Callithrix jacchus: one gene and its partners. The protein of the gene in region 4 interacts with the protein of the main gene of each other region in a pairwise test. Links are inferred from orthologs where the notes say so. Each region holds a gene or a part of one and is shown on either strand. Other genes may lie near its edges. The genes, in order: BFSP2, NFE2L2, GCC1, ATF4, JUNB, DISC1 and golgin subfamily A member 8J.

The links.
Region 1: the proteins of ATF4 (region 4) and BFSP2 interact in binary tests that used the Homo sapiens proteins (3 or more experiments, as listed by UniProt). The link is inferred for Callithrix jacchus from reciprocal best matches to the Homo sapiens genes ATF4 and BFSP2.
Region 2: the proteins of ATF4 (region 4) and NFE2L2 interact in binary tests that used the Homo sapiens proteins (3 or more experiments, as listed by UniProt). The link is inferred for Callithrix jacchus from reciprocal best matches to the Homo sapiens genes ATF4 and NFE2L2.
Region 3: the proteins of ATF4 (region 4) and GCC1 interact in binary tests that used the Homo sapiens proteins (3 or more experiments, as listed by UniProt). The two-hybrid records come from large-scale screens. The link is inferred for Callithrix jacchus from reciprocal best matches to the Homo sapiens genes ATF4 and GCC1.
Region 5: the proteins of ATF4 (region 4) and JUNB interact in binary tests that used the Homo sapiens proteins (3 or more experiments, as listed by UniProt). The link is inferred for Callithrix jacchus from reciprocal best matches to the Homo sapiens genes ATF4 and JUNB.
Region 6: the proteins of ATF4 (region 4) and DISC1 interact in binary tests that used the Homo sapiens proteins (3 or more experiments, as listed by UniProt). The link is inferred for Callithrix jacchus from reciprocal best matches to the Homo sapiens genes ATF4 and DISC1.
Region 7: the proteins of ATF4 (region 4) and golgin subfamily A member 8J interact in binary tests that used the Homo sapiens proteins (3 or more experiments, as listed by UniProt). The link is inferred for Callithrix jacchus from reciprocal best matches to the Homo sapiens genes ATF4 and GOLGA8F.

Annotation. Positions count from the first base shown.
Region 1 is NC_133518.1:50,728,877-50,732,866, reverse strand, and holds the start of BFSP2 (phakinin), read left to right. Parts: upstream 1-1,190; 5' UTR 1,191-1,200; coding exon 1,201-1,689; intron 1,690-3,990.
Region 2 is NC_133507.1:52,142,925-52,146,618, forward strand, and holds the end of NFE2L2 (nuclear factor erythroid 2-related factor 2), read left to right. Parts: coding exon 1-21; intron 22-680; coding exon 681-872; intron 873-1,499; coding exon 1,500-2,726; 3' UTR 2,727-3,194; downstream 3,195-3,694.
Region 3 is NC_133512.1:119,385,751-119,390,050, forward strand, and holds the start of GCC1 (GRIP and coiled-coil domain-containing protein 1), read left to right. Parts: upstream 1-1,500; 5' UTR 1,501-1,902; coding exon 1,903-2,934; intron 2,935-3,783; coding exon 3,784-4,300. UniProt on the Homo sapiens protein: Probably involved in maintaining Golgi structure.
Region 4 is NC_133502.1:190,271,470-190,275,401, forward strand, and holds ATF4 (cyclic AMP-dependent transcription factor ATF-4), read left to right. Parts: upstream 1-1,311; 5' UTR 1,312-1,502; intron 1,503-2,098; 5' UTR 2,099-2,190; coding exon 2,191-2,416; intron 2,417-2,517; coding exon 2,518-3,347; 3' UTR 3,348-3,432; downstream 3,433-3,932. UniProt on the Homo sapiens protein: Transcription factor that binds the cAMP response element (CRE) (consensus: 5'-GTGACGT[AC][AG]-3') and displays two biological functions, as regulator of metabolic and redox processes under normal cellular conditions, and as master transcription factor during integrated stress response (ISR).
Region 5 is NC_133523.1:11,614,676-11,618,489, forward strand, and holds JUNB (transcription factor JunB), read left to right. Parts: upstream 1-1,478; 5' UTR 1,479-1,769; coding exon 1,770-2,813; 3' UTR 2,814-3,314; downstream 3,315-3,814. UniProt on the Homo sapiens protein: Transcription factor involved in regulating gene activity following the primary growth factor response. Binds to the DNA sequence 5'-TGA[GC]TCA-3'.
Region 6 is NC_133520.1:53,273,396-53,277,584, reverse strand, and holds the start of DISC1 (disrupted in schizophrenia 1 protein), read left to right. Parts: upstream 1-1,389; 5' UTR 1,390-1,457; coding exon 1,458-1,521; intron 1,522-4,189. UniProt on the Homo sapiens protein: Involved in the regulation of multiple aspects of embryonic and adult neurogenesis. Required for neural progenitor proliferation in the ventrical/subventrical zone during embryonic brain development and in the adult dentate gyrus of the hippocampus.
Region 7 is NC_133509.1:69,816,190-69,820,397, forward strand, and holds the start of golgin subfamily A member 8J, read left to right. Parts: upstream 1-1,408; 5' UTR 1,409-1,559; intron 1,560-3,222; 5' UTR 3,223-3,237; coding exon 3,238-3,342; intron 3,343-3,953; coding exon 3,954-4,013; intron 4,014-4,158; coding exon 4,159-4,208.

The DNA of each region.
Region 1 (3,990 bases), on a different chromosome or scaffold from region 4:
TTGGCACTCACTAGAGGTTGGCTCCCTTCTCCTTCTCTCACCTGAGGTACGTTCCTACATTACAGCATCTCGAAAAATATCCAGCTCTGGGGTTTGGTGACCTGATTTCTCCAGGCTAAAACTTAAATACAGAGATTTTTAGGCCCGTGTTGTCATCCTGGAACTTGAGGAACCTTTCTGATCCTAGAGAACTGATTGAGGTGTGACCCTTGATGGCTTAGTGGATGCCAAGATCAAAAGTTAAAACCCAGGGGTGTCCTCATACCTAACTTGAAGCACCCTTGGAGAGCTTGCCAGAAAATGCTCTCTTTGTCGTTTTTATGTATCAGTTTTCCAACAGATAGAGAAGCAGAGGTGGAGAGAATGGCCAGAACATAATGTGTGGGGCCTGAATTTGCCCAAGGTCCTTATCTGGCACATCAGAGAGTTAGAGGCTCAGGCTGATGTTCAGAAAGTGAGGTCCAGAGGGAGGAAGTATCCTGGCCAACAACAAGCAGCTGATGAACAGAGAATCTGAGGACAGAGATGACGAAGGAAGGAGAGAGGCAAGGGAAGGACCTGAAGCTGCTGCCAGGACTGAGAGAGGGGGAAGGAAACCACAAGCAGGGGCTTTTCTCTTGGGTCCCTGGGGCTGCGTCCTGCCGTTTTTCGTCCTCTACTTCTTGTGTGGACATGTGTTCACATTCACATGTGCCAGCACACATAGGGATGTAGAAACCACTGAAATTAGCCCTGAAATAGCTGGATTGAGTCCTAGCTTGTAATGTGAGCTCTGGGACAAGTGATCACTTGTGATCTGAGGTCATTGAGCCTCAGTTTATTCGTCTGTAGAATGGGGTTGCTTGATGCCTGCCTTGCCCACTCTTAGGTAATAAAGTGCACGAACCCAGATGATCTATCCCCACAGCCTGCACTGATCCAGCCTCCCCCACCACCAGCAGAAAAATCTGGGAGGTTGGGCACATGACCCTACATCAAAGAATGCATGAGTGCCTCTCTGCACGCAGCCCTGGCCAGTGCCCATTTCTCTTTCAGCTCAGTGAATGATGGAAACTCATGGAAGACAGCAGACAAAGCAGCCCCGGGGATAGGGGAGATTCCAGAGAGGCCCGTGACCAGGCCACAGGGATGCTGGGGCTGTAAACCAACAGCCACTGGACTCTGTAAACCCACTTGGGCACCACAGAGGCAGAAGGGGTGATGAGTGAGAGGCAAGTAGTAGTGGACTTGCCCACCAGTGCCAGCTCCAGCATGCCCCTGCAGAGGCACAGGGCATCCTTCAGGGGGCCGCGGTCATCATCCTCCCTGGATAGCCCCCCAGCCTCCAGGACCAATGCCATGAGTGGCCTTATCCGAGTACCTGGGGTCTATGTAGGAACAGCACCCAGTGGGTGCATAGGTGGCCTGGGTGCCCGTGTGACCCGCCGGGCCCTCGGCATCAGCAGTGTCTTCCTTCAGGGCCTGCGGAGCTCAGGCCTGGCCACAATGCCGGCTCCAGGTTTGGAGCGGGACCATGGTGCTGTTGAGGACCTAGGGGGCTGCCTGGTGGAATATATGGCCAAAGTGCATGCCCTTGAGCAAGTCAGTCAGGAACTGGAAACACAACTTCGGATGCACCTGGAGAGCAAGGCCACGCGCTCGGGAAACTGGGGTGCCCTTCGGGCCTCCTGGGCCAGCAGCTGCCAGCAGGTAAGTGTCCAGGCTGTGCCAAGGGCTTTGCAGAAGGCTGGGAGGGGCTGCTGAAGGCAGGGGGTAGGGTTTTTCTGGTCTTTCTCAGGCCAGAAAAACTGACCATAACCCCTACACTTTCACACTTAAAATGCTAATCATAACAACAATGCCACTTTTTACCGAGGTTTACTAGGAGCCCATGCTAGCCCCGTACGTGTACTATTCACTATCTTCTGTACCCTTCAAATAAATGATATGCAGTGGATCATTCATTGATTACATTTTTGAGATGAGAAACTGAGGCATGTAATTTGCCCAAGACTTCAAAGCTAGAGGAGGGATGGAGATGAGATGTGAACCTGAATTTTTGTGTCTCCAAAGTCACATTTGCCCAATTACCCTGGGCTGCCTCAGCGACCTTTACTGTTGAGAAAGGATTTTTACAGCCATTATCCAATCAAATACCATCAGATGGACATGGTATTAAAAACAATGAATAAATGGAGGCGTGTTCCTGTATCCACCTGCAACCACGCTGTTCAATAGAAATCGGTACATCGGTAATTGACAAGCTTCTATTGCCCACGGTAAAACAAGTAAAAAGAAACAGGTGAAGTTAATATTATAGCCTATTTAACTCCATATGTCCAGAATGTTATTTCAACATGTAATCAATACAAAATATATTAATGAAATAATTTACATTCAAGTAGAACTTTCTGCATGATGGAAATATTAATATCTTATATCTGCACTGTCCAATCTGGCAGCCACTAGCCATATATGGCTATCAAGCACTTGAAATGTGGCTGAGACTGAGGAATTGTATTTTTATTTTATCTAATTTTCATTAATTTAAATGTAAATAGCCACAGGTAGCTAATGGCTATCTTACTGGACAGGGAAGGATGCCCAGGTTTAATCTTTCTCCCCTGCTTGGTCAGCCCTGCTTTTCCCACTCTCCAGGGTGATTTCTGCAGAGCCTGGAGCTCATCCATCATGTCTGGCCTGCAGCCTGTGGTTCTAATGCTGGGACTCCAGCCAGCATTATACTTCTCAGCTGGTCTCTCTGTGGATGGCTGGCTTCTCTCCTCCCCTTTCTCTCCAGATGCTGGCCTTGGGATCCCTCTGAGCAAAATCAGTCTCTAACCCACCAGGGACTACCAACTCAGACCCTTGGCCCCTAGAGTCCAGCATGCAGCCTCCCAAGAGGAGGTCACAAAATGTTATTTGTGTGTAGCTGGGGGGATGCTGAGCAGGTGCACACAGGGACTCCCCATTTGCCCCTCCTGCCTCCTGCTTCATCCCAGGATGCTTCTCCTGCAATGCTGTCAGTGCTCACTGACAGCACAGAGCACATGATAAACAGCACTGTCCTCTCAGGCTCTCCCCCGGTGCTGCTGTTCCGCTTGCCTCCATCTGGGCTGCTCCATCTTTGAACAGTCCAGGCCCTGAACGCCTGTCAAATCAAAGAGGCAGCCATTCCTCCAGGATTCTTCACAACTGTCCTGTTTCCAAACATTGTGCCCTAACAACCACCAGAACATCCCTGGATACTCTACTATGTCAGCATCTGCTGGACAATCGCTTGCACTCAGGTGCCAGACAGACTTGTCAGGAGAAACCAGGTGTCCCGATTTCTAGGTCAAAAAGTAGGGCCACAAAAACTTAGTTTATACTCTATAGATACTGACTTGCTCTGGCTCCAGAGAGCTACAAGGGCTGTTGCAACTTACTGACTTCTCTGGGCCTCAGTTTCATTATCTACAAATGGGTGTAATCATGCTTGGATATTCTAGCAAATCCATAGATAAATAAGATGCCTGGCTCCTGCCTACAAGCAGAGTACAGACTAGGAAGCTCTAAAATCCTGTGAGAGCAGCACAGCCATGCGCCAAGACACGCACCCTCTGTCACTGAGGATCAGGCTCCCACATGGCTCCCTTTCCTCTTAAGTGACTATAAACGAGATCTTGGGTATGAGAAATGGTCTCTTTTTTCTTCTTTTTTTAAAAAAACATGGACTTGAAGATAGAGTCAGAACAATCAATAAAATGGAGTTATTATTTCTTTTTTTTTTTTTGAGATGGAGTCTCCTTCTGTCACCCAGGCTGGAGTGCAATGGCATGATCTTGGCTCACTGCAACCTCTGCCTCTTGGGTTCAAGCAATTCTGCTGCCTCAGCCCCAAGTAGCTGGGATTACAGGGGCCTGCCACCATGCCTGGCTAATATTTTTGTATTTTTAATGGAGACGGGGTTTCACCGTGTTGGCCAGGCTGGTCTCAAACTCCTGACCTCAGGTGATCTGCCCCCTCTGC
Region 2 (3,694 bases), on a different chromosome or scaffold from region 4:
CCGTTTGTAGATGACAATGAGGTGACGTATAAAACAACTGATAAATAGCAAAACTCCATAACTATATAATAACAATCATATTCTATGTAAGTCCCTTCAGTAAGTCTCCATTTAAAAGAGTAAACATTTTTAGGAGGAAATTTTTTAACCAAGGAAATACTCTGTCAAGGAAACCTTAGTCTATAGATAACTTTACAATTAAGAAAAAAAAAACCTTCACATAATATAAAACCAAAATCATTTACTATCGCATAGCCAGAAACATGGACAGTATAACCATGGAAACAAATAACTCATTTGTTACAAGTATCTAAGAGGTTTTGGTGAGTAAAGAACAAGCTGGGCAATGAACGAAGACTTGTTAACAATTTTAATAAATCTGTTTTATCTAGTACTACTGTGCTAGATATTACATAAACTAAATCCTAAAGATTATACTTAAACATTTTAAAGCTTACTTTCAAATGCTTAGGCTGAAACTATTAGGCCAGCAAATAGTAAATGTGAGTCAGTAGGGTTAGGAAAAAGACTTGTTTCATTATTTACAAACAGGAGTCATGATTGGTTAGTAAGTAGAGACACGGAACTGCAGCTGATTCCACTTTGTGTCGTGACGGTGCCTTAGAGCTTACTCATCTTGTTGGTGGAAGACTCATTAATCAATGACTTATCAATTTTAGGTTTCTTCGGCTACGTTTCAGTCACTTGTTCCTGATATTCCTAGCCACATCGAGAGCCCAGTCTTCATTGGTACTAATCAGGCTCAGTCACGTGAAACTTCTGTCGCTCAGGTAGCCCCTGTTGATTTAGACGGTATGCAACAGGACATTGAACAAGTTTGGGAGGAGTTATTATCCATTCCTGAGTTACAGGTAACCAAAATAGAATGTAATACTGAAGATATTATTTTATATTTAGTGCCCTTTAGTCATTCTGATTATTTATGTGCCACCTATTTATAGGAACGATTGGAGGGTGCCTTTAAATTAGTCATGAGTGCTGCCCATGCTAGTTAAGTGGGTTGGATATCCTGAGGAATTTTTTTTTTTTTTTGAGACAGAATCTCACTCTGTCACCCAGGCTGGAGTGCCGTGGTGTTATAACTGGGACTACAGGTGTTATAACTGGGCTACACCACGTCCAGCTAATTTTTGTATTTTTAGTAGAGATGGGGTTTCACCGTATTGGCCAGGCTGATCTAGAACTTCTGACCTTGTGATCCACCCACCTCAGCCTCCCAAAGTGCTGGGACTACAGGCATGAGCCACCTCGCCCAGCCAAGGATAGAATGTTATAAACCTGACATCTGATGTGGGAACTCTGAAAATAATCCGTATACTTAGGCATGAATACGTATTAGAAATGAGAATTATCTCTGAATTACAGGGGTAATAAATTATAGAGATAAGCCTGGAGAGAATGTGGATAGGAAGTTTATCTAAATTTATTGCATGTGGATTAACTTTGATTTATATAGTATAAACTTCTTTCTCATGCAGTGTCTTAACATTGAAAATGACAAACTGGTTGAGACTACCATGGTTCCAAGTCCAGAAGCCAAAGTGACAGAAGTTGACAATTACCATTTTTACTCATCTATCCCCTCAATGGAAAAAGAAGTAGGTAACTGCAGTCCACATTTTCTTAATGCTTTTGAGGATTCCTTCAGCAGCATCCTCTCCACAGAAGACCCCAACCAGTTGACAGTGAACTCATTAAATTCAGATGCCACAGTCAACACAGATTTTGGTGATGAATTTTATTCTACTTTCATAGCCGAATCTGGTATCAGCAACAGCATGCCTTCACCTGCTACTTTAAGCCATTCACTCTCTGAACTTCTAAATGGGCCCATTGATGTTTCTGATCTATCACTTTGCAAAGCTTTCAACCAAAAGCACCCTGAAAGCACAGCAGAATTCAATGATTCTGATTCTGGCATTTCACTGAACACAAGTGCCAGTGTGGCATCACCAGAACACTCAGTGGAATCTTCCAGCTATGGAGACACACTGCTCGGCCTCAGTGATTCTGAGGTGGAAGAGCTAGATAATGCCCCTGGAAGTGTCAAACAGAATGGTCCTAAAACACAACCAGTACATTCTTCTGGGGATGTGGTACAATCCCTGTCACCATCTCAGGGGCATAGCACTCCCATGCATGATGCCCAATGTGAGAACACACCACAGAAAGAACTGCCTGTAAGTCCTGGTCATCAAAAAACCCCATTCACAAAAGACAAACATTCAAGCCGCTTGGATGCTCATCTCACAAGAGATGAACTTAGGGCAAAAGCTCTCCATATCCCATTTCCTGTAGAAAAAATCATTAACCTCCCTGTTGTTGACTTCAACGAAATGATGTCCAAAGAGCAGTTCAATGAAGCTCAACTTGCATTAATTCGAGATATACGTAGGAGGGGTAAGAATAAAGTGGCTGCTCAGAATTGCAGAAAAAGAAAACTGGAAAATATAGTAGAACTAGAGCAAGATTTAGATCATTTGAAAGATGAAAAAGAAAAATTGCTCAAAGAAAAAGGAGAAAATGACAAAAGCCTTCACCTGCTGAAAAAGCAACTCAGCACCTTGTATCTCGAAGTTTTCAGCATGCTGCGTGATGAAGATGGAAAACCTTATTCTCCTAGTGAATACTCCCTGCAGCAAACAAGAGATGGCAATGTTTTCCTTGTTCCCAAAAGTAAGAAGCCAGATGTTAAGAAAAACTAGATTTAGGAGGATTTGATCTTTTTTGAGCTAGTTTTTTGTACTATTATACTAAAAGCTCCTACTGTGATGTGAAATGCTCATACTTTATAAGTAATTCTATGCAAAATTATAGCCAAAACTAGTATAGAAAATAATATGAAACTTTAAAAAGCATTGGAATGTCAGTATATTGAATCAGTAGTTTCACTTTAACTGTAAACAATTTCTTAGGACACCATTTGGGCTAGTTTCTATGTAAGTGTAAATACTACAAAAACTTATTTATACTGTTATGTCATTTGTTATATTCATAGATTTATGATAATGACATCCGGCTAAAAGCAAATTATTGCAAAACTAACCACTATGTACTTTTTTATAAATACTGTATGGACAAAAAAATGGCATTTTTTATATTAAATTGTTTAGCTCTGGCAAAAAAAAATTTTAAGAGTTGGTACTAATAAAGGAATATTATGACTGTTAAAATTATTTCTTTGGAATTCCTTTGAGTTTATTCACACAGTAGTGTTTTCCATAATCATCTATTTAATACATTTAGATGTTTTGCATCTTCAGAATGTTTTCTTTGAAAATATGAAAAGAATTTTATGCTAAATTTCTAGTGACAGGGTTATAGAGAAAGTATATCAAGAGGATACTTTGCCTCTTCAATAGCAGGTACATCTAAACCCAAAAAATGTTATACACTGACATGAACGCATTGATTGATTTATTCCTGTAAGTAAATAATACACACTATACACTAGGCAGGGTTTGAAGTAGAAAGGAAAAAAACCAATACCCCTACCCTGGAATTTGCATTCTAGTGAAGAGGAGGTAACAAGGGTACTCCACTGTTAGAAGTGGATGGGGTAAAACAGTAAAAACATCACAGCACAAAAATAAGGCTATAAATGGGAAGAGCCTTACTGAGGTGGCAATATTTGAAGGTGTGGGAGAAGCCCTTCTCATAGCTAAGAGCACTG
Region 3 (4,300 bases), on a different chromosome or scaffold from region 4:
GAACAGACCGCCAGGGCCTGCCCCATCCCTACCTGCAAAGTCTGTAACAAGCACAGACTTTGGGAAACAGGAATGAGTGAGCGCATGACTTTCCTCTTCTCTTCAGTCATAGACGTGCATCCGTAAGAAGGCTTTTCCAAGGCTGAAGAGTACATTTTAGAGAGTCCCAACATAATAACAACTAGTGGTCACCAAGTTAGGTCAAGTCTACGTTTAGCTCTTTTATCAGCCTCTTTTGTCTCCATCTCTGTTGTCACTACCTTCTCTTCCCCATGACTGAGTCTCTTCACAGGTCTCCTGCCCCTTGTTCCCTCCACCATGTCATACAAACCTTGATGACATTCCACTTTTCAGATTAAAATCCATTAGGGCCTTACTATCACCCAAGATAAAATTTAAATGCCATAAGTTGGGTCCCTGCCTCTCATGCCAGCCCCTCTGTTGTCCCCTCCTTCACATACCCTAAACTTTTGAATGCATTCTGGGTGAGTCAAACTCTGATACCCTACAGGTCTTTGCATTTTTTTCCCACCTGCCTGGAATGCTGGTTTCCCTGATCTCTGGTTAGGTGGACAATCAGGACTCATACTTCAAATCCCAAAGTATTATTCCCAAGAGCCTTCCATTCTTCATTGAGCCAGGCCTCTTTCCTCTCTTAACTTTCCTACCACTTTGAATATACCAATACATACCGGTGTTATAGCAGGACATGTTTGCATGTCTAGTTCCTCACTAGATTGTGAGTTCCCTGAAAGCAAGGTCGTATCTCTTAATGGTGTTATCGTCTGGTACAACACATAATACGTTGAGAATCAGACTGATTCAGATAGAACTAAACTTCTTAGCTCTGTGGTCTTGGGCATGTTACGTATAACTTTTTGCCTCATGTTCCCCTATTTGTAAAATAGTGCTAATGAAAATAGTGCTTATAATAATTATCGTGAAGACGAAATAGCAAAACTCTTGTGCGCTCCTTGTACATAGCTGGCACTCAGGATAGACACGGCTATAGAGTGCCCTCCATAAATATTTGTTGAATCAACTCAGCAGAACTAAGGAAGCGTACTGACTATTACGCTGTATACCTACTAGGTGCCAAGCCTTGTGCTAGAGTACTCCAGTTTTCGCGGTCTATATGCAAGTCTTTAATTGTTGCCTTTTAGGGATATGGGACCTGAGCCCCCAAATCCTTGGATGCGTCGTTCACCTAGGTGTTTGTTAAGAACGCTGTGCGACGTTGCCCTCTGTCGCTCGCTGATCGTAGCCCGAGGTCAAGCTTAGGCGCTCTCACAAAACCCAGACCACTCTGATGTTTTCGGCTTTGCTTGTTTCTCCTTTCCCAAACCTGTTGGCCGCTCGCTACCCTACTGCGTTTTCAACAGGCCGCGCCCACCCACTGGCGGACTGGGCTCCGCCTAACTCGCGCCCACTGGGGGCGGGGCTTGCGGCGCCTAGCTGACGTCACTTCCAGCGGACACGGAAGCGCGGTAGTGGGCAGGCAGTTGTAGTTAGGAAATCGTGATGGGACGCCGCTCTGCGTGAGCACCTGACCGACGTGGGCCGAGCGGGGCCGGCCCGGGCTCCTGTGGCCTGGACAGAGCGGAGAGTGTGGAGCGGCTTCTGGGCCAGCGCGGACGAGCCCTGGCCGAGCGCGCCTCTGGTGCCAGCGTCGCCCCGCCTCCAGGGTAGTACCCGCCCCACCCTCCGGGCTTGGGACCAGGCGGGCACTTTTGTCTGTAGGTTCCGCCTATCCGCATTAGGTCCGGGATAACTGGGTGCAGCAGGTGTGCGGCCCGCCGCCGGACAGCCCGCTGGCTGTTTCTTGAAGCCCTTGCCTGCCTCTTCGCAGCCCTCTCTTGGGCTACTGGAAAGCTGAAGTGGAGCAGTCCGTTCAGAACCTTCATGGAGAAGTTTGCTATGAATTTCGGTGGCGGCCCGAGCAAGAAAGACTTGCTGGAGACTATAGAGACGCAGAAAAAGCAGCTTTTCCAGTACCAGGCACGGCTCAAGGATGTGGTCCGTGCCTATAAAAGCCTGCTGAAGGAGAAAGAGGCGCTAGAGGCCAGCATCAAGGTGCTGTCGGTATCCCACGAGGCAGATGTGGGCCTCGCAGGTGTCCAGCTTCCAGGCGTCGCCTTTCCGGACTTTGTGGATGACCGGTGCTCCACTCACAGTGAGGATAGCACTGGGACCGCCACTAGCGTGGATACGGCAGCCAGTCTCACCAGCACCAAGGGCGAGTTTGGGATAGAAGATGACAGACCAGCCCGTGGACCACCACCTCCGAAGTCCGAAGAGGCCAGTGGGTCAGAGAGTGGTGTTAGCAGTAGCAGTGGGGATGGGCCATTTGCGGGTGGGGAGGTGGACAAAAGACTGCACCAGCTGAAGACTCAGTTGGCTACTTTGACCAGTTCTTTGGCCACAGTCACTCAGGAGAAGTCCCGCATGGAGGCTTCTTACCTGGCTGACAAGAAAAAGATGAAACAGGACTTAGAGGATGCCAATAACAAGGCAGAGGAGGAGAGGGCTCGCCTGGAGGGAGAATTGAAGGGGCTGCAGGAGCAAATAGCAGAAACCAAAGCCCGGCTTATCACGCAGCAGCATGATCGGGCCCAAGAGCAGAGTGACCATGCCTTGATGCTGCGTGAGCTCCAGAAGCTGCTGCAGGAGGAGAGGACCCAGCGCCAGGACTTGGAGCTTAGGTTAGAAGAGACCCGAGAAGCCCTGGCAGGACGATCATATGCAGCTGAACAGATGGAAGGATTTGAACTTCAGACCAAGCAGCTGACCCGTGAGGTGGAGGAGCTGAAAAGTGAACTGCAGGCCATTCGAGATGAGAAGAATCAGCCAGACCCCCGGCTGCAAGAACTTCAGGAAGAGGCCGCCCGCCTTAAGGGCCATTTCCAGGCCCAGTTACAGCAGGAAATGAAAAAGGTAATTATCCACCTCTCTTTCAAACATAGTCATTGATCTGAAGTGGGAAATACTAGGGTTTTTTTCCTCCTTTGCTAGTGAGAGCTAAGTGTTTGTACTGTCATTTTTGATGCTACCTGAAAAGTTCCACTGGTGAGTCCCGGGAAGTGCTGTTTTATGTGGTGTTGACGTAGAAGCTTCCAGGAGGATGTGGAGCTTCTCAGTGTAGGCTGGGTTGGAGCCAGTCAGCCCTGCCCTTCTGGGCATTGGCATCTTACCAGCTGTGTTCTATGAAGCAGTATAGTGGCAGCTGTACAGTAAAAGGTAGTGTATTTTCTGTTGGTATGTGCCGCTAGGGAGGGTGGCTGAAGGCAAAGGGGGATTTTCTCAGAAGTAACCTCTTGTCATTGCCTTTACTTAAGATTTGCCTATTCTGGAGAAATGCTATTTTCCAGAATAGGCCTCCTTTCTGGTGGAGAAAGGGGGCTTCCTTCCAATGTGGTGAGGGAGCTCCAGCTCAGTTTTGAACTACTAGGAATATTAGATAAGGAAAAATCTTGTATGATTTCTTAAGATTTGAGGAAGCACCTGAAAAACAACAGTGACACACATTATATGTGAGTTAGGTGGAAAGCAGAATGGAATGGCAGATATGCCAAGGTGCTTAATATTTTTTAGTATAATATGTCTTGCAGAACCCAGGCAGGTCATAGGAACTTTTGTTAGCTCCTGAATCAACCGAAAAATCCCTATTTCCCATTCTTGTCAGGCCATTCCAATCCTGTGACCCTTTTGCTCCCCTGTCCTGCTTTCTCAAAGTTTGCTGTGGGGCTTTTGTGGATGCATTATTTCTCTTCCCTTATTTTGCAGACAGCTCTTGCAGAGGATCAACTCCGTCAGCAATCTCAGGTGGAAGAACAGAGGGTGGCAGCCCTGGAGAATCAAATATCTGAGGTGTCGGAGCTGCTGGGCACGTACGAGAAAGCCAAGCAGAAGGACCAGCTGGCCATCCAGAAGCTGAAGGAGCGTATTCTGCAGCTGGACCTGGAGAACAAGACACTGGCTCTAGCAGCCTCCAGCAGGTCCCCTCTAGACAGCCATGGAGAGGAGTCTAGTCTGGATGTCAATGTCCTGAAGGATAAAATGGAGAAGCTGAAGAGACTGCTGCAGGTTGCAGCCAGGAAAAGCCAGGTGACCCTGGATGTGGAGAAGCTCTGTGACCTGGAGATAATGACCAGCTCGGAGACTGCTGATGGGGAGAAGGCTACTGCACTCTATTACCAACAGGAGCTGAAACAACTGAAGGAAGAGTTTGAGAGGTACAAGATGAGGGCCCAGGTGGTCCTAAAAAGTAAGAATACCAAAGATGGTAATCTGGGGAAGGAGC
Region 4 (3,932 bases):
GGCTCAGTGAAATGGAGGCGGAAGGTTTCCACCTTCGCGGGGCCTGACTGGAGGGAGCTGGGGGACTATGGGGAGGTTTCTTGTATTCTTTAAACAGACTACCCCTTCCCAACGCACAACCCCCAGCAAGTGGCCGTGGGTTCCCAGGCGCCTCTCCTCCCAGGGCCATGAACGTGACTGCTGAAAAGCGGGTTAGGCTGGGGAGTTCAGAATCCGGAGTGAATCGAAACTACCCCAGAGAGACGGCAGCGAAGAAAAATCCTGTTCCTAGGGGAACAGAACGGAACCTGAGGCCACCAGAAGTTCCCCTCTGATGCAATTCCGTAGCAGCCTTGCACTTGAGCCGGATGAGAACTGTAAAAACCCAGGTTGGACGACAGGATGGCGCGTCTTCCCGGCTCCTTTCCAGAGTTTAGGAGGGGCCATGCAGACTCAGCCGGCCTTTGCGGGCAGGTAGGCGAGGACGGGGCGCCCTCTTAAGACCCCTTCAGCCTTCCGAGGACAGCACCATGTTGGCTATGGATGGGGTCTCTGGAAGACTCAGGCTTGGTGCAGGTAACCCCGCGGCTTCCGCAGGCCATAAATCAGCGCAGCGTGCACCGAAGAAGCGCGCAGGCTGGGAGCGGCGACATAGCCGCCAGCGCGGACCTCCATTGAGGGCGGCGGGACCGACAGCTGGGGCCGGGCCTCGAGGCCGCTGTGGGTCGCATGGCACTAAGGCCACCTGGGGGCAGAAGTCGGCGCGATCATGGCGGGCTAGCAGGCGGGAGGGGCTGAGACAGAGCAGACAACCCCGAACCCCGGCCCTTCCCGCGCAAGCCCTGGGCTCCCTCTCGCAGCAGCCACCCACCTAGGGCCCTGAGCCAATAAGAGCTCGAGGTATATATGACTCACCGCGCCTGGGCCAATCAGCTCGACGCGCGCTCTACACCAGCACCTCGCGCGATAACCTGGCGGCCTCGGCCTTCACAATGAAAACCCTCTGTGGGAAAACCACCTCTCCCCGCCCACTGCGCCGACACCGGAAGCGAGGCGTGTCTGAGAGATCACTCCGCGCTCCGGCGGCAAAGGTAAGAACGGACTCTTTAATCATAGAAACTAATAAAGTAGTGCGCCTCTCTCCTTTCATGAGGCCATAGAAACAAATTCCTTTTCCTGTCACAGCTGCGCCCGGACATAGGTGGTGGGGGCGTCAGAGGGAGGGAAGCGAGCAGACGGGAGGAGACGGTCACGTGGCTGCTGCGGAAGGATAAGTCTGTGCTGTGTTCCAGCGGAGGCGAACTTTATAAAGGGCCGACGGGCGGCGGCTGCGGCCATTTCTACTTCTCTCTCTCATAGATGTAGTTCTTCACGCACGTGCGCGCCTTCCCTCCTCCCCGCCCGCAGGGTCCAAGGCCACCATGGCGTATTAGGGGCAGCAGTGCCTGCGGCAGCGTTGGCCTTTGCAGCGGCGGCAGCAGCACCAGGCTCTGCAGCGGCACCCCAGCGGCTTAAGCCATGGCGTGAGTATCCGGGCGGGCTATCCAGCCGTGCTCCCTGGGTCGGCGAGGGTTTTGGGCTGGTGGGGCGCGGCATGGGGCCGGGACGGTGCCGCCAAGAGGGAAGCGATTTTACGAGCGCCAAGGACGCTGTAGTCTCTGCTTGGGTGTTTCCGAGACGCTCGCGTACCCGGGGCCGGGAAAGCGCAGCTAGGTGCCAGGACTGCTTCCCCGGGGGTCTCGCCACCCTCGTACCTCGAGACGTTTCCCTGAGGGTCTCAACTGTCCCACCCGCGAAACGTGGCAGAAGCCAAGATGGCGGCCGCAGGGCGGCGCCGCGGGCGTGAGTCACGGGCGGGCGGTGGGCGGGGCGTAGCCGCCCTGGCCGTATTTGGACGCGGAGACGGAGCGCTTTCCTGTTGGCCAGTGAGGGAATGGCCGGTCCTCCACGATCGTCCATTTTGTGGAACCTGAGCTGGAAGCGGGGGGAGGGGGGCTGGGGGGGGAATACATCTGCCCTGTCTCTAGATGGCCGGTTTAGCCGTCCCACCTCATAAGTGGAAAGATGAAATTCTTAGATCAGCTAACGTAATGGGACTTGGCTTCTGATTCTTATTCAGGCTTCTCACGGCATTCAGCAGCAGCGTTGCTGTAAGCGACAAAGACACCTTCGAATTAAGCACATTCCTCGATTCCAGCGAAGCACCGCAGCATGACCGAGATGAGTTTCCTGAGCAGCGAGGTGTTGGAGGGGGACTTGATGTCCCCCTTCGACCAGTCGGGTTTGGGGGCTGAGGAAAGCCTAGGTCTCTTAGATGACTACCTGGAGGTGGCCAAGCACTTCAAACCTCATGGGTTCTCCAGCGACAAGGCTAAGGCGGGCTCCTCCGAATGGCTGGCTGTGGATGGGTTGGTCAGTGCCCCCAACAACGGCAAGGGTGAGTAGGCTGCCACCAGCCACATCCAGGTGGGATCTGGGGTTAGGGGCTTGCTATCTTTGTGTCTGACTCACTGGGCCCATCACTCGTATCTTTTGCAGAGGATGCTTTCTCCGGGACAGATTGGATGTTGGAGAAAATGGATCTGAAAGAGTTTGACTTTGATTCCCTGTTGGCTACAGATGACCTGGAAACCATGACAGATGAGCTTTTGGCCACGTTAGATGACACATGTGACCTCTTTGCCCCGCTAGTCCAGGAGACTAATAAGGAGCCCCCCCAGGCGGTGAACCCAATTGGCCATCTCCCAGAAAGTTTAACAAAACCCGACCAGGTTGCCCCTTTCACCTTCTTGGAACCTCTTCCCCTATCCCCCGGGGTCCTCTCCACCACTCCAGATCATTCCTTTAGTTTAGAACTGGGCAGTGAAGTAGGTATCTCTGAAGGAGATACGAAGTCAGACTCCACTGCTTACATAGCCATGATCCCGCAGTGCATAAAGGAGGAAGACACCCCCTCAGATAATGATAGTGGCATCTGTATGAGCCCAGAGTCCTATTTGGGCTCCCCCCAGCATAGCCCCTCTGCCAGGGGCTCCCCAAATAGGAGCCTCACATCTCCAGGTGTCCTCTGTGACTCTGCCCGTCCCAAACCTTACGACCCTCCTGGAGAGAAAATGGTAGCAGCAAAAGTAAAGGGTGAGAAACTGGATAAGAAACTGAAAAAAATGGAGCAAAACAAGACAGCAGCCACTAGGTACCGCCAGAAGAAGAGGGCAGAGCAGGAGGCCCTCACTGGTGAGTGTAAGGAGCTGGAAAAGAAGAACGAAGCTCTAAAAGAGAGGGCAGATTCCTTGGCCAAGGAGATCCAATACCTGAAAGATTTGATAGAAGAGGTCCGCAAGGCAAGGGGGAAGAAAAGGGTCCCCTAGTTGAGGGTAGTCAGGAGCGCAAGGTGCTTGTACATAGGAGTCTCTCGCTGTAGCTGTGTGTGTGAATAAATTATTTTGTAGTGAATACTTCCATGTGTGTAATTCCTTTTGGCACAGTAACAGAGTGAAACCGCTACCATCCGCCTGCCCCATGCTGGTCTTAATGTGCCCTGTGCAATCTGGGGAGGAGGGCAGTCTAAGACTAGATTTGTACCCAGGGTGGGATTTGCTTATCCCTGCTAGGTGTAGACCATGGTGGCTGATGACTTTGATGGGGCTCTCTAGAGCTGGTTGTAGCAAGCTGGGTTTTGGCCAGAGCTGAGTGCTGGTCAGGTAGGGAGGCGGTTTGAAGGGAGGAACAGCCTGGGCCTTCACCTGTGTGTTCAAGGCCTTCGTGCCAACATCCTGTCACATAAAACCCTGGGCAAGGTTGCACACTCCTTGAGGTGAGCACGTAGGATTAGGTTTCACTTATAACCTAAACAGTTCTGCAGAAGCCTCTGAGAAACAGCTCCTTTTGGGACTTGATGTTGAAGCAGGACGCGGGCTGGAGACAGGCCTCTTTCTCCTTACCTGGGGGTGGAA
Region 5 (3,814 bases), on a different chromosome or scaffold from region 4:
CCCGGCCCTGAGTCCTGCCGGCGGACTCCCGCCTGTTGCCATGGCGACCAGGCCCAGCTCTTGGGCTGCGTTTCCCGCTGTCGGTCCAATGGAACAGTCCCCAAGCTGTCTGCCTCGGCGATCCCCAGCAGGCGCCGCGGGAGGAACCATTGCCTGGGGGGAGAGGATGGTAGCTGGAGGCTTCTGCTGCTGGGCCGGCTCCAAGCACCAGGGCCTCCGCGTGGGCTCGCACGCCCAGGTTCCTCTTCCGAGGCGCAGGATGCGGCGGGACCCAGGGCGGGGCGCAAGGTCCCGTAGGATCCGAGTGACGGAGACAGGGCCGGGCTCCTTCCCCCGGGGCTGTTGCCACACTTCCTGCCTCGGCGCTCTTTCCCCAGCCTGTTTCTAAGGAAGGGAGTGTGGGGTTGGGCGACCGCGCCCCAGCCGTCGGGCTGGGTCCAGGCGCCGACAGGGTGTCGGGCAAAGCCCAGGGTCAATAGGGGAAGAGTTTTAGGATGGGGGACAGGGAATGCAGATGCCTAAGGGGTCACCCACGAGGGGGAGCACCAGTCATGGAAGATCAGCAGTCCGGGTGCGTGGACCCCAAAGCCCCCTCCTCACGTCAACTGAGTACCCTCTTACTGTCTTCTCTGCTCCGAAGATGGATCCGGATCCTTCTATCTCTCCTTCATCCAGGCTTCGCGGATAACTCCAGTGGTCCCCAATCTCTGCTAGACGTCTACATCTTCTACCCCGCACATTTTACCTGCCTCAGTGTACAGCAGGACCCTTATTCGCTTTCTGCATATCTAGATTTCTCCTAATTCCTCTTTCCCACGTATGGGGAGCTCTCAGATCCTCCCATGGGCTTCGGGACCCCTACTCATTTCTTGCAATTTAATGGGTCATGCAGCCCACCACTGTCCCCTTTTGATCTCTCCTCTCCTCCATCCTGTGAAAATTCCAGTACTCCATCCCTCTGTGCTTGGGGCCCCCAGTCAATTCCTGTGTCAGGTCTCTCCTTACCCCTCCCGATTTACCGTTAGTAACCCTCATTTCTGCTTTTTGGGGTCTCCCAATGAATTGTCAGTCCTTCCACCCCTCTCGTACTCTGGGTACCTCAGGGTTTCTTCGAACACCCTGGGATCTCCACCCCATTTGCTCCGTACCAGGTCCTGGTATTTGTCCCAGTGGGCTGGAGGGAAATCATCCTCCTCCCTGAGCGCCCTCACTCATGTGTCCAGGCCCCTCAGCACCTCCTTCCACGCGGACCCCGGGGTCCTTTGAGCCCCTCCCCCTGCAGCCCCGCCGAGCCACCCGGCCCGTGGCCGCTGTTTACAAGGACACGCGCTTCCTGACAGTGACGCGAGCCGCCTCCTCCCCTTCCCCACGCTCGAGGAGGGGGGCGCGGGGGCCCGGCTCCGGCGACGGCCAATCAGAGCGCACTTCCGTGGCTGACTAGCTTCTGTATAAAGGCGTGTGGCTCAGGCTGAGCGGCTGGGACCTGGAGAGCGGCCGGACCAGCTTCGGAGCCAGCAGGGAGCCGGGAGCTGGGAGCTGGGGGAAACCACTCCAGGAAAGCTAGCGCGCCGAAGAGGGTGAGGGGGACTCGAGAAGCCTGACAGCTTTTGCGTACAGCTTCCGGCTGGCTGCTCCCCGCCCGCGCCAGCCCCGGAGAACGCGCGACCAGGTACCCAGTCCGGCCACCGCAGCGGAGAGCGCGGCGCTCGCTGCAGCGAGGCCCGGGGCGGCCCCGCAGGGACCTTCCCCCGACCGCCTGGGCCGCCCGGATGTGCACTAAAATGGAACAGCCCTTCTACCACGACGACTCATACACTCCTGCGGGATACGGCCGGGCCCCCGGTGGCCTCTCTATACACGACTACAAACTCCTGAAACCCGGCCTGGCGCTCAACCTGGCCGACCCCTACCGGAGTCTCAAAGCGCCTGGGGCTCGGGGATCCGGCCCAGAGGGCGGCGGTGGCGGCAGCTACTTTTCTGGTCAGGGCTCGGACACCGGCGCGTCTCTCAAGCTCGCCTCTTCGGAGCTGGAACGCCTGATCGTCCCCAACAGCAACGGCGTGATCACGACGACGCCTACACCCCCAGGACAGTACTTTTACCCTCGCGGGGGTGGCAGCGGTGGGGGTGCGGGGGGCGCAGGGGGAGGCGTCACCGAGGAGCAGGAGGGCTTCGCCGACGGCTTTGTCAAAGCCCTGGACGACCTGCACAAGATGAACCACGTGACACCCCCCAACGTGTCCCTGGGCGCTAGCGGGGGGCCCCCGGCTGGGCCCGGGGGCGTCTACGCCGGCCCGGAGCCACCTCCCGTTTACACCAACCTCAGCAGCTACTCCCCAGCCTCTGCGTCCTCAGGAGGCGCCGGGGCTGCTGTCGGGACTGGGAGCTCGTACCCGACGGCCACCATCAGCTACCTCCCACACGCGCCGCCCTTTGCCGGTGGCCACCCGGCGCAGCTGGGCTTGGGCCGCGGCGCCTCCACTTTCAAGGAGGAACCGCAGACCGTGCCGGAGGCGCGCAGCCGGGACGCCACGCCGCCGGTGTCCCCCATCAACATGGAAGACCAAGAGCGCATCAAAGTGGAGCGCAAGCGGCTGCGGAACCGGCTGGCGGCCACCAAGTGCCGGAAGCGGAAGCTGGAGCGCATCGCGCGCCTGGAGGACAAGGTGAAGACGCTCAAGGCCGAGAACGCGGGGCTGTCGAGTACCGCCGGCCTCCTCCGGGAGCAGGTGGCCCAGCTCAAACAAAAGGTCATGACCCACGTCAGCAACGGCTGTCAGCTGCTGCTTGGGGTCAAGGGACACGCCTTCTGAGCGCCCCTGCCCCCTTACGGACACCCCCTCGCTGGACGGCTGGGCGCAAGCCTCCCACTGGGGTCTAGGGGGCAGGCGGTGGGCACCTACCCTGGGACCTGGGAGCGCCGCTAACCACACTGGACTCCGGCCCTCCCGCCCTGTGCCCAGTCCTTCCACCTCGACGTTTACAAGCCCCCCCGGTTCCACTTTTTTTTGTATGTTTTTTCTGCTGGAAACAGACTCGATTCATATTGAATATAATATATTTGTGTATTTAACAGGGAGGGGAGAAGGGGGCGATCGCGGCGGAGCTGGCCCCGCCGTCCGGTACTCAAGCCCACGGGGACATTGGGAAGGGGACCCCCGCCCCCTGTCCTCCCCTCTCTGCACCGTACTGTGGAAAAGAAACACGCACTTAGTCTCTAAAGAGTTTATTTTAAGACGTGTTTGTGTTTGTGTGTGTGTTTGTTCTTTTTATTGAATCTATTTAAGTAAAAAAAAAAATTGGTTCTTTATTAATTTCTGTTGTCTTTTTTTCCAAGCTGGGAGGGCCGAGGGAAAAAAAAAGCAATGGTTTGCCCCAGCTCAGTGCTGTAAGTGGCTCGGTCCTGTGTGTGTTCCCCTCTTCAGCTCTGCGCAGGCATCTTGTGGCCCGCCCGGGAGTCCCACCCTATACGCGCCTCCTGATCTCCAGGGTTGGATGGTCGGGGCGCGGGGCGCGGGGCGCGGGACGCGATTTCGGAGCCCAGTAGCAAAAGGCAGGGAGCTCTGCGCGAGACGCGGAGTGCGCAGGCGCGGCCCCGCCCAGCCGCGCGCGCCGGGGCTTTCCCCGCTGACGCAGCGGAAGCGCTGCCCATATAAGGACCGATTCTGCCCAGTGACGCGACCGCGGTCTCTGGGCAGATTCCGGGAATCCCCTCCCCCGCTCTGCCGGGCAGGGCCGCGGCGCCGGGAAGGGGGCCGGGATTTTCCCGGGCAGGCGGCTGCCCGGGCACGGAAAGCCCCAGGCCTGGGTCCAG
Region 6 (4,189 bases), on a different chromosome or scaffold from region 4:
CAAAACACGAATTTTAGGCACAACTGTATGCTTTCACTCATAAGATCGTCAGCTTTTGAAGGACCTCAGCCTTCCTCTAGTTGTAACTCCTCTCGTTCTGAGGAGAGCCTTCCCTTTCCTGTAGAACGTCTCCCCAATCCTTCTTCACAACCCTCCCTCCTATCCCTGAGCCACCTGCAAGAAGGTTTGTGCCAAGCCTCTGGTACATGGCACATTCTAGCTCCTGATGTGATTTGGTTTCATATGCCCGTGCTCTCCTTCTGGCCTGGAGGGGAGCTGCTTAAGGACACAGAGCCCACGTGTAGCCCTTCCTTGTACCCATTGTCCTATATAGCAGGTGCTACCTAGGGGGTGCTCTAGTAGCTTCCTTGAATGAACCAAAGAGAAGGGTTGAATCAGCGGCCTAGGAGCAAGCTTGCATGGACTCCTGTGTCCTGAAACCAGCCTGTGTCCGGGAACCACTCCAGAGCGGCTGGAAGATGCTAGAAATTGGAATTCCATCTCATTTCTAAACATCTGCTGCCACTCATCTTTTTTCAGGGTCATCGGTCATCCCCACTGTTCCCCCCACCCTCCGCACTTTGTATAATTGAGTCTCTCACATCCCTCCATCTTCTCCATCACTGTGTGGTCACTTCTCAAATCACGCGTCTGGAAGGCGCCCTCCTCTACCCGGTGCTGAAGGCCTCCCGCACTTCCCCTCGTTTCCTCCAGAAATGAGCCACAGTGAAAGCAAACTTCCTGAGGTCCCGAGATCCCGGAAACCGGCTGTGAGGGCCGCTGGCCCGCCCGCTCCAGCTGCGCGTGTGTGCGTGTGTGTGCGTGTGCGCGCGCGTGTGCGTGTGTGTGTGTGTGCGTGTGTGTGCGCGTGTGTGTGAGCGCGCGCGCGCGTGTGTGCGCGTGTGTGTGTGTGCGCGTGCGCGTGTGTGCGTGCGTGTGTGTGTGCGTGCGCGTGTGTGTGCGCGTGCGTGTGTGTGTGCGTGCGTGTGTGTGCGCGCGCGTGTGCGTGTGCGTGTGTGTGCGTGTGCGCGTGCGTGTGTGTGTGCGCGTGTGTGTGTGCGCGCGTGTGTGTGTGCATGTGTGTGTGTGCGCGCGCGTGTGCGTGTGCGTGTGTGTGCGCGTGCGTGTGTGTGTGCGCGTGTGTGTGTGCGCGCGCGTGTGTGTGTGCATGTGTGTGTGCGCGCGCGCGTGTGTGTGCGTGTGTGTGTGCGTGCGCGTGTGTGTGTGCGCGTGCGTGTGTGTGTGCGTGCGTGTGTGTGTGTGTGCGCGCGCGTGTGAGGGGCCAACCCTGGAAAGGAAACCGCGGCCTGGCAAAGGAGAAGAAAGGAGCCGCCCCCTGCGTCGCCAGCCCCCTCCCCACTTCCGTCCTGCGCGCCGCTCCCTTCCCCCGCCTCTGGCCTCGGGGAGCGAGCAGCAGCCGCTCGGGCGGAGCGGGAGGAGCTGGCAGCGGGAGGAGCATGCCAGGCGGGCGTCCTCAGGGCGCCCCGGCCGCCTGTGGCGGCGGCGTGGGCCACTGCGCAGGTAAGGGAGCTGCCACCACGTCCTAGCATGTCCTGGGGGGTCTTGGCAGGGAGGGCGCGCTCTGGCCCCCAGGAAGTCTTGTAGGTCGGGGCGTGCCTCTGTTGACAACCCCTTTCGAGGTGAGGAAACTGAGGCAGGACGCGCGGCGTGCGGGGTTGAGAGAAGAGCCAGTCTTGGGCTGCTAGCCCGGTGCCAGCGCCGAGCCGGGCCAGGTCCCAGACCCAGGACTGTGCAGCTATCCCCTGACCTGCGCCCCCGCTGCGTGTCCTGGTGACCGGGGAGGGTTGCCAGGGCGTGCTTGGGTTTTGGATCCGTCCCGGGACACCTGCGCCGCGCTCACTCTCCTTGCGGTGCTCCCCAGCCTGCGCCCCCACGGGACAGGGGACGTCCCACCCACCTTAATCCCCAAACCCTGGATCTCTGGTTCCACCCCTTCGGGCACCTAGGGGGAGGAGGCTGGGAGAGGGACCAGGAACTGGTGCCTGTGGCTCGGCTACGGGCTGCTCTGAAATCAGTTCCACCGCCCACTTCCTACTAGGCACGCCCACGGCCCAAGCCGGAGACTGCTCGGTTTCCACCGCCGGAGCGCGGGTCTCGCGGTCAGCTCTTAGTGATGCCCACTGAGTGGATGGTTGCTTTTCAACATCACTCTTAAAATATTCGCAAAGGAATGTGAGGTTTTCCAAAGTCAGTGAAATTTGGAGTTAGGGAGTGCTTCCTTGTGTCCTTGCTGGGTGAGGACAGGGCTGGGTCAGTCACTTAAGCCTGAGCCTCAGTCTCCTGAACTGTAAAAGAGAACACTTATAATCTGGCCTCCCTGTGTCGTTAGCTTTGTTGTATGGGAATTCACTTTGCAGTGTTATCATCGTCCAGACAAACTTGAGATGAACAACACTAGGACCACATGAGCTGGGGTTTGGAGACAGTCTGCATGTCAATCCTGGACTTACCGATGCCTCAATTTCCCCGTTATTAAGTGGACACGATCACAGTACCTGCTTCATAGTGTTGTTATGCACTTTAACTGTGACCGTGGACGTGAAGCACCTCACCCAATGCTTGAGATACCCAGCGTGCACTCAAAAAACCTTAGTGGCTGTTTTTACTAAGCAAACTCTAAATAATTGGGAGGAACGTGATAATACCAGTTGGATTTTATTAATGTAGGAATAGCAGGACATTTAAAAATAAATGTAGTTTTTTACACTCGGCATGATACATGAAGTCGTCTGAGGTTCAGTTTTGTGCCACAGAGGAAAAAGAGCCCTGGACAAGAGACATGCAGCTTTTCTGGCTCTTGGAGTTTGAGCCTGCTTTCTCATCTGTTTACATAAAAGATAAAAGAAAAATGGGGGTAGTAATTACTGCCTTTTGTTCTGATCGCATTGTCTGAGGATCAAATGAGGTAAAAGATCTGAAGGCACCTTACGTGCGGAGTGTGAGTCACTAAGCACATATCACACATGATAGTACTAGGAGGGAAGAATAATATCTGCGCATTTTTAGAACTTAAAATGTGCCAGACATTTCATTAGGAATTCCTCTGATGAACTCCTCCCCATATCTGTATGGGACTGGGATGACAGTCCTCATTTCCCTATGACAAAGATAAGGTTCAAGGTCACCCTGCTTGGTTCCCAAGCTCACAGAGCTCTTGAGCATAAAGCCAGGATTAGAACCCTGGTGTGTGCCACTCACAGCTGTGTTCTCGGCCACTGGCCAAACTGAAATTATAGGGTGGAGCCGTGATTCAGAACAGACCTATATTAGATTTTAGGTAACTTTTTGTTTTTCTTTAAGAGATACAGGGTCTTGCTCTGTCACTCAGGATGGAATGCAGTGGCGCAGTCATGGCTCACTGTAGCCTTGAACTTCTGGACTCAAACAATCCTCCTGGCCCAGCTTTCTGAGTAGTTGGGATTACAGGCACATGTCACCATGCCGAGCTAATTATTTTTTTAGAGATGGAGTCTTGCTATGTTGCTCAGGCTGTCTTGAGCTCCTGGCTTCAGTCATTCCTCCCACCTTGGCCTCCCAAAGCACTAGCATTACAAGCATGAGCCACTGGGCCCAGCTTCCATCCTGCATATCTATAGACCCAAAATGTAAGACTGAATTGTTAGTTCTGGCAAAAGAGGCTTTGGGGTAATTCTAATTTCTTTCAGCCTTGTTTTATAAAATATACTTTAAACTACCTTCTTGTATAATGAATGATGACAATTTGCAGAAAAGTTATTAAAACATTGAAGGAACAGAAGGCGAGATCTCATTGCAAATCTCAAAGTGGTATCTGGATTAATGCTTTGTTTTACCATTCATTTGCCAGAACCTTTAGGATGCCACATGAGGTGTTAACAGGGATCCAGACTTTGGGTGTCGTGGTTACCTTGCAGGGCTGGGCCGCAGGACTTTTCTGCAGAAAGCTCATTGCTCACCCAAGATGCCACCAGAGGAAGCAGAAACTTCTGAGAGGAGCATGAATGTTCTTTGTGCTGCAGAAACAATTCCTAGTTTACTTGTTTCCTAAATTAAGTTTATCTTACGGGTTTTTATTTTTCCAGAAGCAATGCTTGCTCATTACAGGAAGCACAGAAAACTGTAAACTAGTAAATGAACATTAAAAACTACTGTAATCTCAGCAAGGTAGACAAATAGCTTGGTGTCTCTG
Region 7 (4,208 bases), on a different chromosome or scaffold from region 4:
ACCACTGCACTCCAGCCTAGGAGACAAAGTAAAACTGTCTTAAAAAAAAATAGAAGAACCTGGCCCCATGCCTTTTGGGTAAAGAATAATAGACTTATACTATTATCCCCTGTTGCAGGTAAAAACAAACAAACAACAACAAAAACCGAGTCCAAGTTATTGGGCCAGGATCAGTGTGACAAGACTAGAACACACAACAGTCTGACTTCCAAATGCATCTCTGTCAGGACATTAGATGAACTCTACAATCACTTTTTCTCAGATTGGCCCCTCCCCAGCCATCCCAGTAATGTCTAAAAAGTAAATATTTTCCTATATTACCAGGAATAAATGTTTAGAAAATTATATAAGTATGGCACAATAGCAACAAAACATGAATAGGGGTCGGGTGCGATGGCTCATGCCTGTAATCCCAGCAGTTTGGGGGGCCAAGGCAGGCGGATCACAAGGTCAAGAGATCCAGACCATCCTGGCCAACGTGGTAGAAACCATGTCTCTACTAAAAATACAAAAATCAGCCGGGTGTGGTGGCGTGCGCCTGTAGTCCTAGCTACTCGGGAGGCTGAGACAGGAGAATCGCCTGAACCTGGGAGGTGGAGGTTGCAGTGAGCCAAGATCGTGCTACTGCACTCCAGACTGGCAACAGAACGAAACTCCATCTCAAAAAAAAAAAAGAAAGAAAAAATATATAAATGGGAATAGAAATAGTCCTAACTGGAACTATTGACCCATGTGGGGAAAGTAAACAACTTGACTGTGAGACCGCCTGTTGCTAGATCGAAGTGCTATTGTAAAGTTAGTTCTCTTCCAAACTAATGTGTAGACTTAGTTATTCTAGTCAAAATACTAAAAAAAAAAAAAAAATTTTAACTTAGAATTGCCAAGCAACAGACCTTAGCATATGTAAGAATTTAATATATGATAAAATTAGCACCACAAATCAACGGGAAAATAATTCTAGGGAAAAAATAACTATGTAGGAAAAAATATTCCTCGTCTTCCATCTTACATCAAAATGAAATCTAGGTGGTTTAGCAAGGTAATTAAAAAATATATATTTTAAAAGAGAGCTAGAAGAAGGAAAAAGAGACAGAAAATAAAACAGGTGAAAAACAGATCTCCATGTGGTAATCCACTTCCTTTTTTTTTTAAAGTATACAGACATATATGTTTTAAAGTTTATTTTTTAAAGCTTTTAAAGGAAAAGCCGACCCCTCCCTCCTCCCGGAGTGGGCGGCCCCTCCCCTCTCTGAGTGGGCGGAGACAGCAGTTTCTTGGGCAGCTTCCCGCATGACACCACTGGTCCTGTGGTCCCTTTCATCTTTCTGATTGACCAATGGGCTTGGAGCATTAAGGCCACGCCCCCTATTTATGTTCTAGTGGGGCCCTGGTTACGCCTCCCTGGCTCAGTCACACAGCTGCCTGGTAGGTGACTGGAGCTGTTTACCAGTGCTTGCCTGATTTTGCTGATGTGACCCCAACCCCGCCTCCCTCCCCACCCCGCGATATCAACGTCCACAAAGTCTCGAGATAGCCAATTGGCAGAGCCAAAAAAAAAGGTAAGACGTACCAGGTCATGGCCCCCCAACCCAGCCACAGATCCCCTCCGATGGCAAGACTGCTGCCAGAGTCCATACCACTCCTGAGGCACACGGGACTGGGCCCCCCAACCTTGGAGCCTCTGAGCTCCCCCCACCAAAGTCTTGTCAGTCCAACCCATCCTTTCAGCAAGCAGCCCCGTCCCTGCCATCGCCAATCACCCCAGAGTGACTTTGGGCGGGTGACTCCTGGGACTCCCCACTCCATACGTGGCCCTTGCTTCCTGCCTCCCCAGGATCAACCTCCCTGGGCTCCTTGGGCTTGTGTCTCCAAGGACGTGGGTCCCCCAGCCCTAGGCCCCACCCTCACCAGTCATCCCTGGGTGACTTTGGGCTGGTGACTCCTGGGGCTCCCTGCTGCAGACTCTGCGCTCCCCTCCTGCTTCTCCAACCTCAACCTTCCAGGGCTATTTCAGCTGGCCTCTCCAAAGACCTGGGTCCCAACCCTGTGTTTCCCTCCCCATCATGGAGCAGCAACTCTGGCGTGGCACTGATGTGGTCCCCTCCCCCTGGAGTAGAATGTAATGATGTCACCATCCCTCTACGAACTGTCATTACTGTTGCAAGACCTGGCTTTGATCTTATGACCCAGTCCCCTAAGGGTTCTCATCCCATTTCTGGTTCCTCTTGTCACAGAACACATTTCCAGCTGGCAGGGGAGTGGAGACTATGGGACCTAAGAGCAAGAGCTTTCAGGCTGCCTCACTCCCTTAACATAGACATTGACAGTGTGAGAAGCCTACACTTCCCCTGTGAGCTCAAAATGTTAACAGTTTCTCTGGGTGGCAATGGAAGAATGGGTTTGGCTTGGTTTTCTTCCAGGCTTCTGCTCTCCAGAGAGACTTTAACATTTTGCTCTGAGTTCTCCACCTCATATTCGAATTCTCCATAGTTCTGGGACCAACTGCCCTTCAGTCAGTGGTCTCTGGAATGAGATCTCCTCATCTTCTACTGAATAGATCTTGGGAAACAACTTGACAGCTTGAATCTTCCTCATATCATCTCAACCTGGGGTACTTCTGAGTGCCACAGGAAAACTGTGGGATATCTTTCTGAAGTATCAGTTTCTCTTGAGTCTCTTGAGAAAGGAAAAAACAATAATGTACTTAGGGAGGACAGTCACATGGGTTTCTAAGAGTATACCCGACTTCTCTCTGAAATGAGGCTTGGGCTGTCATCTTGCTGAGAAATACCCAGATTTAACAGAAACGCTGCCTTCTGCCATGACGACACATCGATATAAAAGTGTGAGCAGTACTGGCGCACTTCTAACACCAACAGATGTGTGAAGGTGTATGACTGTAAAACATACAGTGTACAGGTCCTGCTACTTAATGTTGAGTTTTTCTACCTCTGCCTCTGGTTTTGGTCCCTGGAAGCTGCTGATTCATGGGAAAATCCCAGAGCTTGGAGTCAGAAGACTGAGTTTAAGTTCCAGTATTGCCTTTTTTTTTCTTTTTGCCATATCAGTCCCTCTCAGTCTCTGATTGCGACAACACCTTGTACAGTTGTTGGTGGCATTAAATCAGATGGTGTATAAGAGTGTATTGTAAAAACTGTAAAGGGGGATGTGGCTGTTGGGGCTGGTGGTTCTCATGAGTATTACTGCTCTTCTTTCCCACAGTTAAAAGAATATCAGATGAGGAAGAGATCTGGTGTTGACGAAGGAGCGAAAAGAAAATTGAACAAAAAGGCCAGTAGCCCTGAGTCAGCCGCCTATGGTGGTTGCCAGTCACCTGGGGATGTGAGTCTTGGCCAGCCAGTCTCCTGGGGATGGGGGGAGAGGGGATGCCCAAGGGGCAGTGGAGGGTAATTGCTAAGATTGTGGATGGACTGTCAGGTACTGGTTAAGAATTCTGGGTTTGAATCCTGCCTCTCCATCTGCTAGGGATACGATTTAGGCAAGTTTCTTGAGCTCTTTGGGCCTCTCTTTTCACATCTGTAAAATACAAGCGGCATTGTTTGAATTCTATTTGTGAAGTTTAAGTGAGATTTGTGATTGTCAGTGTTTTTATGTTAATCTCCAGTACATGGCCTGCTGTAAAGAGCCAGGACACCCAGGAAATGGTCGTTGCTGTTTGATTTTCCTCATCCTCAGTCTCAAGGGGAAGCCAGGCCAATGAGAACAGCCACTTCCCATCAGCCTGTCCCTTCAGCAGTCACTGAAAGAGCCCCAGAGTGGGAGGGTGGGGAGATAAGAACCACGAGAAAAGCTGGCACAAAGGGGTTATGGGACAAAGGGTCCGAGATAGGCAGAACAGAAAATTTTGCCAGTTGATGGGAAAGAAAGGAAGTCAGAGGTCTTAGACACTGAGGGGGACAGAACATTTCCATGCACACTTTCATCTCTTGTAGTCAGAAATGGGTATGCACACAGAGGGCCCTGTGTCATGTACTGCTGCGAAAGATATGGAGGTAAGAGGCCCTGCGCCGAGGTGCAGTGACCCTGCAGGCCAGCCCTCCAGCCTCCTTCCACAGCGGGGGCTGGGTGCCCTTCTGCCAGCTGAGACAGCCCCCATACACCATAGCCCTAATGATTGTTCTCTCTACCTCCCCCAAGTTCTCCTCCAACTCCTCATCTCTGCATGCACCTCGGAGGCACTACCAAGA